Macaca mulatta: one gene and its partner. The protein of the gene in region 2 purifies or fractionates together with the protein of the main gene of each other region. This does not show direct contact. Links are inferred from orthologs where the notes say so. Each region holds a gene or a part of one and is shown on either strand. Other genes may lie near its edges. The genes, in order: TRIM21 and IRF7.

Region 1 (4,597 bases), about 71 Mb from region 2:
AATGCTAGAATAATACTTCAATCAGAAAGGAAAGATGTTAATGAGCAAGAAGAAATTATCTGCTCACTGGTAATAGTAAGTACATAGAAAAACAAAGAATATAATTATACTAACTGATGTGGAGACTACTCTTATGCTAAGTAGAAGGACTAAAAGATGATCAAAAATAACATCTTTAAGAAATAGTACAATAAGATAGAAATAAAACATTAAAAAGTCAGGAGATTATATGGTCTAGCTGTGTCTCCACCCAAATCTCATCTTCAATTGTAGCTCCCATAATCCCCATATGTTGTGGGAGGTAATTAAATCATGGGGGTGGGTAGGTTTTTCCCATGCTGTTCTTGTGATAGTGAATGTCTCATGAGATTTGATGGTTTTATAAAGGGCAGTTCTCCTGCACATTCTCTCTTGCCTGCTGCCATGTACAATGTGCCTTTGCTCCTTCTTTGCCTTCCATCATGATTGTGAGACTTCTACAACCATATGGAACTGTGAGTCCATTAAACCTTTTTTTTTTCCTTATAAGTTACCCAGTCTTAGGTATGTCTTTATTAGCAGTGTGAGAACAGACTAACACAGGAACAAAGTTTTAGTTTTAGTTTTTTCTTATTTATGTGAACAGGATTAAGATATAATTGGCATAAAAAATGGGTTGTAAAGATAGTATTTGAAGCCTCATGGTACTTTCAAACCAAAATCCTACAATAGATACACAAAAAACAATAAATTAGTCATATTACCAGAGGAAAAAAAATTCCTGGCCAGGCATGGTAGCTCATGGCTGTAATCCTAGCACTGTGAGAGGCCAAGGTGGGTGGATCACCTGAGGTCAGGAATTCGAGACCAGCCTGGCCAACATGGTGAAACCCTATGTCTAGTAAAAATACAAAAGTAGCCAGGCGTGGTGGCAGGCACCTGTAATCCCAGCTACTTGGGAGGCTGAGGTGGGAGAACTGCTTGAACCTGTAAAGCAGAGTTTGCAGTGAGCCAAGATCATGCCACTGCACTCCAGCCTGGACAACAGAGCAAGACTCCACCTCAAAAAAAAAAAATTACCTTCACTAAAGTGAGACAGGAAGGAAAGGAGGAAGAGAAGACTGTACAACAAGAAAACAGCAAGATGGAGTTACGTCCTTACTTATCAGTAGCATTAAACATAAATGGACTAAACTCTCTAGTCAAAAGAGTGGCTGAATGGATGATAAAAACAAGACCTAGTGATCTGTCGCCTAGAAGAAACACTTCATCTATAAAGACAGACTGAAAATACAGAGATGAAGAGAAATATTCCATGCCAATAGATACCAAAAAAGAATGAGAATAGTTACATCAGACAAAGTAGATTAAGATGAAAACTAAGAGGCAAAGGTTGCTATGTAATGATAAGGAGGTCAAGTTGTGCAAGAGGTTACAACAATTTTAAATATATATGCACCCAACACTGAAGGACTCAGATACATAGAGCAAATATTAGAGCTAAAGAAGGTAGGCCCCAATACAATAATAGCTGGAGACTTCACCCCACTTTCAGCATTGGACAAATCTTCCAGACAGAAAAAGAAATACTGGACTCGATCTGCACTATAGACCAAATGGACCTAATAGAGAACATTTAGAGAACATTTTGTGCAGTTACTACAAAATACACATTCTTTTCCTCAGCACATGGATTATTCCAGGATAGACCGTATGTTAGGTTACAAAACAGGTGCTAACACATTCAAAAAGTTGAAATAATGTTGTGATAGTTAACAAATGTCAACTTGATTGTATTGAAGGATGCAAAGTATTGTTCCTGGGTGTGTCTGTGAGGGTGTTGCTGAAGGAGATTAACATTTGAGTCAGTGGACTTGGAAAGGCAGAACCACTCTCAATGTGAGTGGGCACCATCTAATCAACTGCCAGTGTGGCTAGAATAAAGCAGACTTGCTGAGTCTTCCAGATATTATCTTTCTCCTGTGCTTCTTCCTGCCCTCAAACATCAGACTCCAAGTTCTTCAGCTTTTGGACTCTTAGACTTACACCAGTGATTTACTAGGGACCTTCAGCCACAGACTGAAGACTGTACTGTCAGTTTCCCTCCTTTTAAGGTTTGGGGACTTGGACTGGTTTCCTTGATCCTCAGCTTGCAGACAGTCTATTGTGGGACTTCACCTTGTGATCATGTGAGTTAATACTCCTTAATAGACTCCCTTTCATATAGACACCTATCCTACTAGTTCTGTCTCTCTAGAGAACCCTGACCAGTACAAATGTCAAGCATCTTCTCTGACAGCAGTGAACTAAAACTATAAGTTAATAATAAGAATTTTGGAAACTATACAACTACATGGAAATTAAACAATACACTCCTGAATGACCAGTGGTCAACGAAAAAATTAAATTGAAAAGTTTCTTGAAACAAATAGAAACAACATACCAAAATTCACAGGATATAGTGAAAGCAGCAAGAGGGAAGTTTATAGATGTAACTGCATACATCAAAAAAGATGAAAAACTTTTAAAAAAAATCTAATGATGTATCCGATTAATAGCCAGAATAAAGAGCTCAAACTCTATATGAAATAAAACCTAGTAATCTGAACCAAAAAAGGGCAAAATATTTGAATAGACATTTCTCAAAAGATGACATACAAATGGCAAACAGGCATGAAAAGGCATTAAACATTACTGATCAGAGCAATGAAAATCAAAACTATAAATCTCATCCCAGTTAAAATGTCTTATATAAAAAAGACAGGCACTAACAAATGCTGGCGAGGATGTCAAGAAAAGAGAACCCTCATTCACTGTTGATGGAAATGTAAATTAGTACAGCCATTCTGGAGAACAGTTTGGAGGTTCTTCAAAAAACTAAAAATAGAGCTACCATATGGTCCAGCAATCCACTGCTGGGTATATAGTTGATGTAATTTTGCTGTGTCTCCACCCAAATCTCATCTTGATTTGTAATCCCCACATGTTGGGGAAGAATCTAGTGGGAGGCAGTTGGATCATGAGGGCAGTTTCCCTCATGCTGTTCTCATGATAATGAGGGAGTTCTCATGAAATCTGATGATTTAAAAGCATTTGGCAATTCCCCCTGCTTGCTGTTCTTCTGCTGCTTTGTGAAGAAGGTGCCTGCTTCCCCCTTGCCTTCTGCCATAAGTTTCCTGAGACCTCCCCAGCCACGCAGAACTTTAAATCGATTAAACTTCTTTCCTTTATAAATTACTCAGTCTCAGGTATTCTTTATGGTAGTGTGAAAATGGACTAATACAATATCTAAAAGAAATGATATCAGTATATTGAAGAAATTTTTTTATTCGCATTTTTCTTGAAGCACTGTTCACAATAGCAAAGATTTAGAAGCAACCTAAGTGTCCATCAACAGATGAATAAAATAAATGTGGCACATATAAATGAATAGTGGTCCATTGTGTATAAGAATGAGATCCTGTCATTTGCAACAACATAGATGGAAATGAAAATGTTAAGTGAAGTAGCACAGGCACAGAAAAACAAATATTGTATGTTCTTAATTATCTGTGGCATTGGGAAGGTTACAGGAGGGGTAAGGTGGGGATGGTGAATGGGTAAAAAAATAGAATGAATAAAATCTATTATTTAATAGCACAACAGGGTGACGAGTTAACAATAATGTTACAGCACATTTCAAAGTAACTAAGTAATTGAATTGTTTAACACAAAGGATAAATGCTTGAGGGATTGGATACCCCACTCTCCATGATGTGAGTGTTATGTATTGCATATCTGTATCAAAACATCTTATTTACCTCATTAAAATGTACCTACTATGTACACACAAAAATTAAAAATTAAAAGAATTAACCTGGAATAGCTATATCAACTACAGTCAAAGCAAACTCCAGAGAAAGCAATATTATTATGCATAAAAGGGAATGTATGATAATGATGTCAAGTCTATGAAAAGACGAATTTTTAGTGTGTATGTACCCACAATAGATCAAGATATGTGAGGCAAAAAACTGAACTGAAAGAAATAGGTAAATCCATTATTAAAGGTTGAGATTAATGCCTTTCTCCATCAGTAATGCATCCAGCAGATAAGGGTATGGGGAAAAAATAGAAAAGCCAGTTAACACTGAACATATTTTAACCAACAGTATTCAATCGAAATGCACACAATATATTTAAACAGTAGAATATACATTCTTTAAGTAAACCAAGTAGAATATTCACCAAGTAGACCACACTTTGGGCCGTAAATCATATCTTGGACATTAACATTGATTAAGAACTTCTTTACTACTGATTCAATTTCTGAAGCTTTTCAGGGTTTCAATCTCTTGATTCACTGTGAATTTTCTAATTTGTGTGCTTAAAGACATTCATAGTAGTCTCTGGGGATCTTCTGCATTTCTTTGGGATCAGTTGTAATATTATCTTTGTTATTTCATTATGCTTATTTGGATCTCAATCTAGTTAAGGGTCTATTAGTTGTGGTTTATTTCCCCCCCAAAGAATTCTTGGGTTTATCGACCTTTTGTTTGGATTTTTTGTATCTTAATTTCATTAGGTTTTTCTCTAATGTTTTTCTTCTGCTGGCACTGGGAATTTTTTTCCTAGTCCT
Region 2 (4,518 bases):
TTGTAAATAATTGCTCAAGTTTGCACTCAACACAGTTGCCTCCTGGAGGCAGGGTGCAGCAGTGGCAGCCCGAGGGCTGGTGACAGGTGTCGGGTGTGGGAAAATGTCGTCCCTGCCCTCAGCACAGCTGGTGGGAGTGGCTTTGGTGGCCACCTACCTCTCAAGGGCCTTGTTCTTTGAACAAGGCTTGGATGTAATGTGTGTGGTGAAGACAGAAGTGAGTTGGTGTGCAGGGAGGTCCCCTCCCTCCCTGGGCCTCACCAGTGTTCAGCCTGCACCCATTTCCCCGCCAGCCAAGACATCAGTGTGTGTGCTGGAGTTCTCTTTATTAGACTGGGCTCTAGACGGGCTGCTCCAGCTCCATGAGCAAGCACTCAATGTCATCATAGAGGCTGTTGGTGCTGGACAGACAGAGGCTGAGGCTGCTGCTATCCAGGGAAGACACACCCTCACGTTGCGTGCCCTCCAGGTGCACTCGGCACAGCCAGGGCTCCAGCTGCCAGGAGGGCATCGGGCGTGTGTCAGTGACCCAGCGTGTGGCCTCCCCTCCCCCTCCCCAGGCCCTGAGGCTCTGGTCTCACCTTCACCAGGACCAGGCTCTTCTCCTTGGGCCTCCTGGCTGACAGGTCCTGCCCGAAGCCCAGGTAGATGGTATAGCAGGGGGAGCCGCGGCGCTGCCGTGCCCGGAATTCCACCAGCTCTGGAGAAGGGGGCTCTGCTGAGTATCTGGCAGACACATGCTCCCAGGGGCCCCTGGAGACAGCCCCCCAGGCAGGAGCCTCACTGACCTTGGAAGAAGACTCTGAAGTCAAAGATGGGGGTGTCGCAGTTCCGAGGCAGCAGGCAGGCTGGGGTGGAGGGGCTGGCGGAGCCCGGGGGGCCACCCACCTCCCAGTACACCTTGCACTTGCCCATGCGCCGGGCCCACAGCTGTGGCCCCCGAAGCTCCAGCTGCAGCCCAGGGGCCACGTGCCTCAGCAGTTCCTCCGTGTAGCGCAGCTGCTTCTGGTCGGGGAGCTCAGCAGGGCTGGGGAATGCTACCTGCTGGGGGTCTGTGGCCCGGACAGCTGGGTCTGGGGGGCCGTACAGGAACATGCAGCTCGGGTGCCCCACCACCTTCTGCAGCACTGTGCGGCCCTTGTACATGATGGTCACGTCCAGCGCCCCTGGGCTGGGCTCTGTGTGGAGACCAAGCTGTGAGCGGCAGAGGTGGGCAGGGACAGGCTGTCCCCTTCCCAGGACCCACTCACCTTGCACCACAGTGCAGGCACTTGGGGAGGGTGCCAGGTATGGCTCTGCCTGGTGCGGGGGCTCTGGGGCCGTGGCCTCGCCTGCATCGGGAAGGGAATCCTGTGCTGGTACCTCATCCCCAGCCCCTCCCTGTGCCCCAGGCCCCCCAACCCCTACCCCTCTCACCTGTCATTAGCGCCGTGGGCTGGGGCCCGGGGCTAGGGGTTGCTTCTACTGCCCATGTGCACAGCTCCCCAGCAGGGAGCCCTGGACCTGAGGAGGGGAGGTCAGTGGGAATGTGGTCCCTTCCTACTTCTCCAGCTCCCCAATCCCCAGCCCCCTTCTTAAGTGTCCATCCAGGTGCACTGGCCCCTCCCATGCTTTCCCCCCACACACACACCCCTCCACGGCACTGCCCACACCTCCAGCACAGGCCCCAGTCAGGGGAAGACCCTCTTGTCCCTCTCCAGGAGCCTGGGCTGGGACTGGGTCTGCCCCCCATGACGCTGTCAGCAGATGGTCCGCCAGGCAGCTCTGCTGCACTGCCTGGAGCAGGAGGTCCCCCTTGTCACCAGCTGGGGCAGGGAAGGGGCCTGGGGCTTGGAGTCCAGCATCTCTGTGTGCCAGGAATGGCCCTGGGGGCCTGCCCTGTAAGGAAAAGTCAGGGTCAGCATAAGCAGCTCCGCGGCCTGGCAGGAGGAGAGGCAGGCAGAGAGAAGACTACCTGCGGTGGCCGGACAGCCGCGGGGGCCTCTGCCTCAGTCTGGTCCGTGCCTGGGCCTTCTGAGGGAGAATGGGGCAGGTGTTAGGTTCCGAGACCAGGGTGAGAGACGCAACAAGAGCCTGGCGTAACCCGCACCAGCTTCCTTGTGCTGCGGCCTAAGGAGGTGGGGATGCGGCTCCAACTGTCCTGGGCCTGCTGGCAGCCTCTCCCAGAACGGCTGCTAAAAACCCAATTCTGATCCAGAGAATGTTCTTTTTTTTTTTTTTTTTTTTTTTTTTTTTTTGAGACGGAGTCTTGCTCTGTCGCCCAGGCTGGAGTGCAGTGGCGCAATCTCGGCTCACTGCAAGCTCCGCCTCCCGGGTTCACGCCATTCTCCTGCCTCAGCCTCCCGAGTAGCTGGGACTACAGGCGCCCGCCCCTGCGCCCGGCTAATTTTTTCTATTTTTAGTAGAGACGGGGTTTCACCATGGTCTCGATCTCCTGACCTTGTGATCCGCCCACCTCGGCCTCCCAAAGTGCTGGGATTACAGGCGTGAGCCACCACGCCCGGCCCAGAGAATGTTCTTTCCCCAGGCAGGACGAATGCCAACGCGCTTGGCAGCCGGCGTCGCTCACCTCGCCAGCCCAGCTCCGGGCTCAGCGCATACACCTTGTGCGGGTCGGCCGGGTCCCCCGAGTTATCTCGCAGCATCACGAAGCGGCGCGTGCTGCGCAGTGCGCAGCGGAAGTTGGTTTTCCAGCCGGCGCGCTCCGCAGCCTCAGCCTCGGGGGGCGGCGGGTCACCTCTGCTGCTAGGCGGCCACCTGCCGCGGGCCACGGCCCAGGCCTGAAGAGGGGGAGAGAACACGTGGGCTGGGCCCGCGGGGTCCTAGGCGGGTCCTCCCACCCGGGACGGGGCCGGGGTCCCACCTTGAAGATGCGCGCGTCAGCCTCGCTCAGGTCCTTGCGCGCGAAGTGCTTCCAGGGCACGCGGAAGCAGGTGCGGGCCTCGTCCAGCCACTGCAGCCCCTCATAGCAGCCGCTGCTGATCTCTCCAAGGAGCCACTCTCCGAACAGCACGCGTGGGGCCGCCCTGCGGGTGCCCGGCCGCGGAGAGTCAGGGCTGGCTGCAGGGCGCTCGGGGACGGGCATCTGGAGAAGGTGGGCCGGGCTCTTACCTCTCAGGAGCCAAGGCCATTGCTCCCTCTGCAGGGGCAGTTGGGTGGCGGTCAGGTGTTACAACAGGGGAGGTAAGGGCTCCTGTCACTGCAGACGCCAGGCCGCGGCCACAGGTCGTGTGGCCAGGTGTCACAGGTGTCCACAGGTGTGGCCAGGTGTCACAGGTGGTGGGGGTCACAGGTGTGGACTGAGGGCTTGTAGCCACCGACGCTGCCTCGGTGTGGATCTCTTGGCAGAGGGGGCTACAGGTGTGACTGCAGGTATGGCTGGCGCGCACACGTGAAGTCACAGGTGTTGAACCAGTGTCCAGGCCTGCCGGGCCGGTGCAGGCCGGACCCTGCGGAGACGGGAAAAGCCACGTCGGGGGCGGGCCAGGCTTCCGAGAAAGCGAAACTTAAAACAGTGGCGCTTCCACCCTCCCCGATCCCATCTCCGTCCGGTTCTCATCGCCGCAGAGCCCCGCCCCCGCCTCCGCCTCCCTCACCTCCCGACCCTCATCCATCAGGCTCCCCCAGCCCTTGGCTCTACCCCTCCCGGTGAGTCTCTCACTCCCGGACCTGCACCGCGTGGGTCCGGGGTCCCGAGTACCTGGGTGCCACAGTCGCCGGGGCGGGAGGTTTCTTATCGCGGAGAAGCGGAGGGCCGGCGCTTTTATGGTGTCCGGGCCGGGGGCGGGGCCCAAAGAGCTGCAGGTGCAGCCAAGGAGGTCACGTGACCAGGCGGGCGTTTCCGGGAAGGGCGCGCGCGGCCAGTTCCTGCTCTCGAATGCGACCAGCGGAACCCCGTCCGGGGCAGCGCGGAGTAGGGAGTGGCGGCGAGGGGGCAGCGGTGGGCCCTGTCTGCCTGTGTGGCTCGGCCCTGCAGGGTCCAGCCGCTTCTCTGGGAAGTAGTCCCTACACGCCTGGGGCCGGGGCGCCGGCAGTCATCGGAGGTGGGGGACACAGTGGGATAAGGCGGGGACTCCCCCAAACGTAAGCGAAACCGGACCCGAGGCAAAACCAGGCCCTTCTTGTTGTGCTTTTTTTTTTTCTTTCTTTCTTTTTTTTTTTTTTTGAGGTGGAGTCTCGCTCTGCCGTCCAGGCTGGAGTGCAGTGGCCGGATGTCGGCTCACTGCAAGCTCCGCCTCCCGGGTTCCCGCCATTCTCCTGCCTCAGCCTCCCGAGTAGCTGGGACCACAGGCGCCCGCCACCTCGCCCGACTAATTTTTTGTATTTTTAGTAGAGACGGGGTTTCACCGTGTTAGCCAGGATGGTCTCGATCTCCTAACCTCGTGATCCGCCCGCCTCAGCCGATCACTTGAGGTCAGGAGTTCGAGACCAGCCTGGCAAACGTGACGAAACCCAGTCTCTACTAAAAATACAAAAATCAGCCGGGCGTGGTGGCGCAGGCCTGTAGTTACAGGTACT

Evidence for each region.
Region 1: the proteins of IRF7 (region 2) and TRIM21 purify together in Homo sapiens (affinity purification with mass spectrometry; 3 studies listed by BioGRID, with this or other methods). This does not show direct contact. The link is inferred for Macaca mulatta from reciprocal best matches to the Homo sapiens genes IRF7 and TRIM21.

What each region holds. Positions count from the first base shown.
Region 1 is NC_133419.1:71,426,570-71,431,166, reverse strand, and holds the start of TRIM21 (E3 ubiquitin-protein ligase TRIM21), read right to left. Parts: upstream 3,092-4,597; 5' UTR 3,082-3,091; intron 1-3,081. UniProt on the Homo sapiens protein: E3 ubiquitin-protein ligase whose activity is dependent on E2 enzymes, UBE2D1, UBE2D2, UBE2E1 and UBE2E2.
Region 2 is NC_133419.1:506,369-510,886, forward strand, and holds IRF7 (interferon regulatory factor 7), read right to left. Parts: upstream 3,086-4,518; coding exon 2,864-3,085; intron 2,781-2,863; coding exon 2,570-2,780; intron 2,014-2,569; coding exon 1,955-2,013; intron 1,879-1,954; coding exon 1,653-1,878; intron 1,504-1,652; coding exon 1,417-1,503; intron 1,332-1,416; coding exon 1,251-1,331; intron 1,179-1,250; coding exon 789-1,178; intron 701-788; coding exon 582-700; intron 497-581; coding exon 341-496; 3' UTR 310-340; downstream 1-309.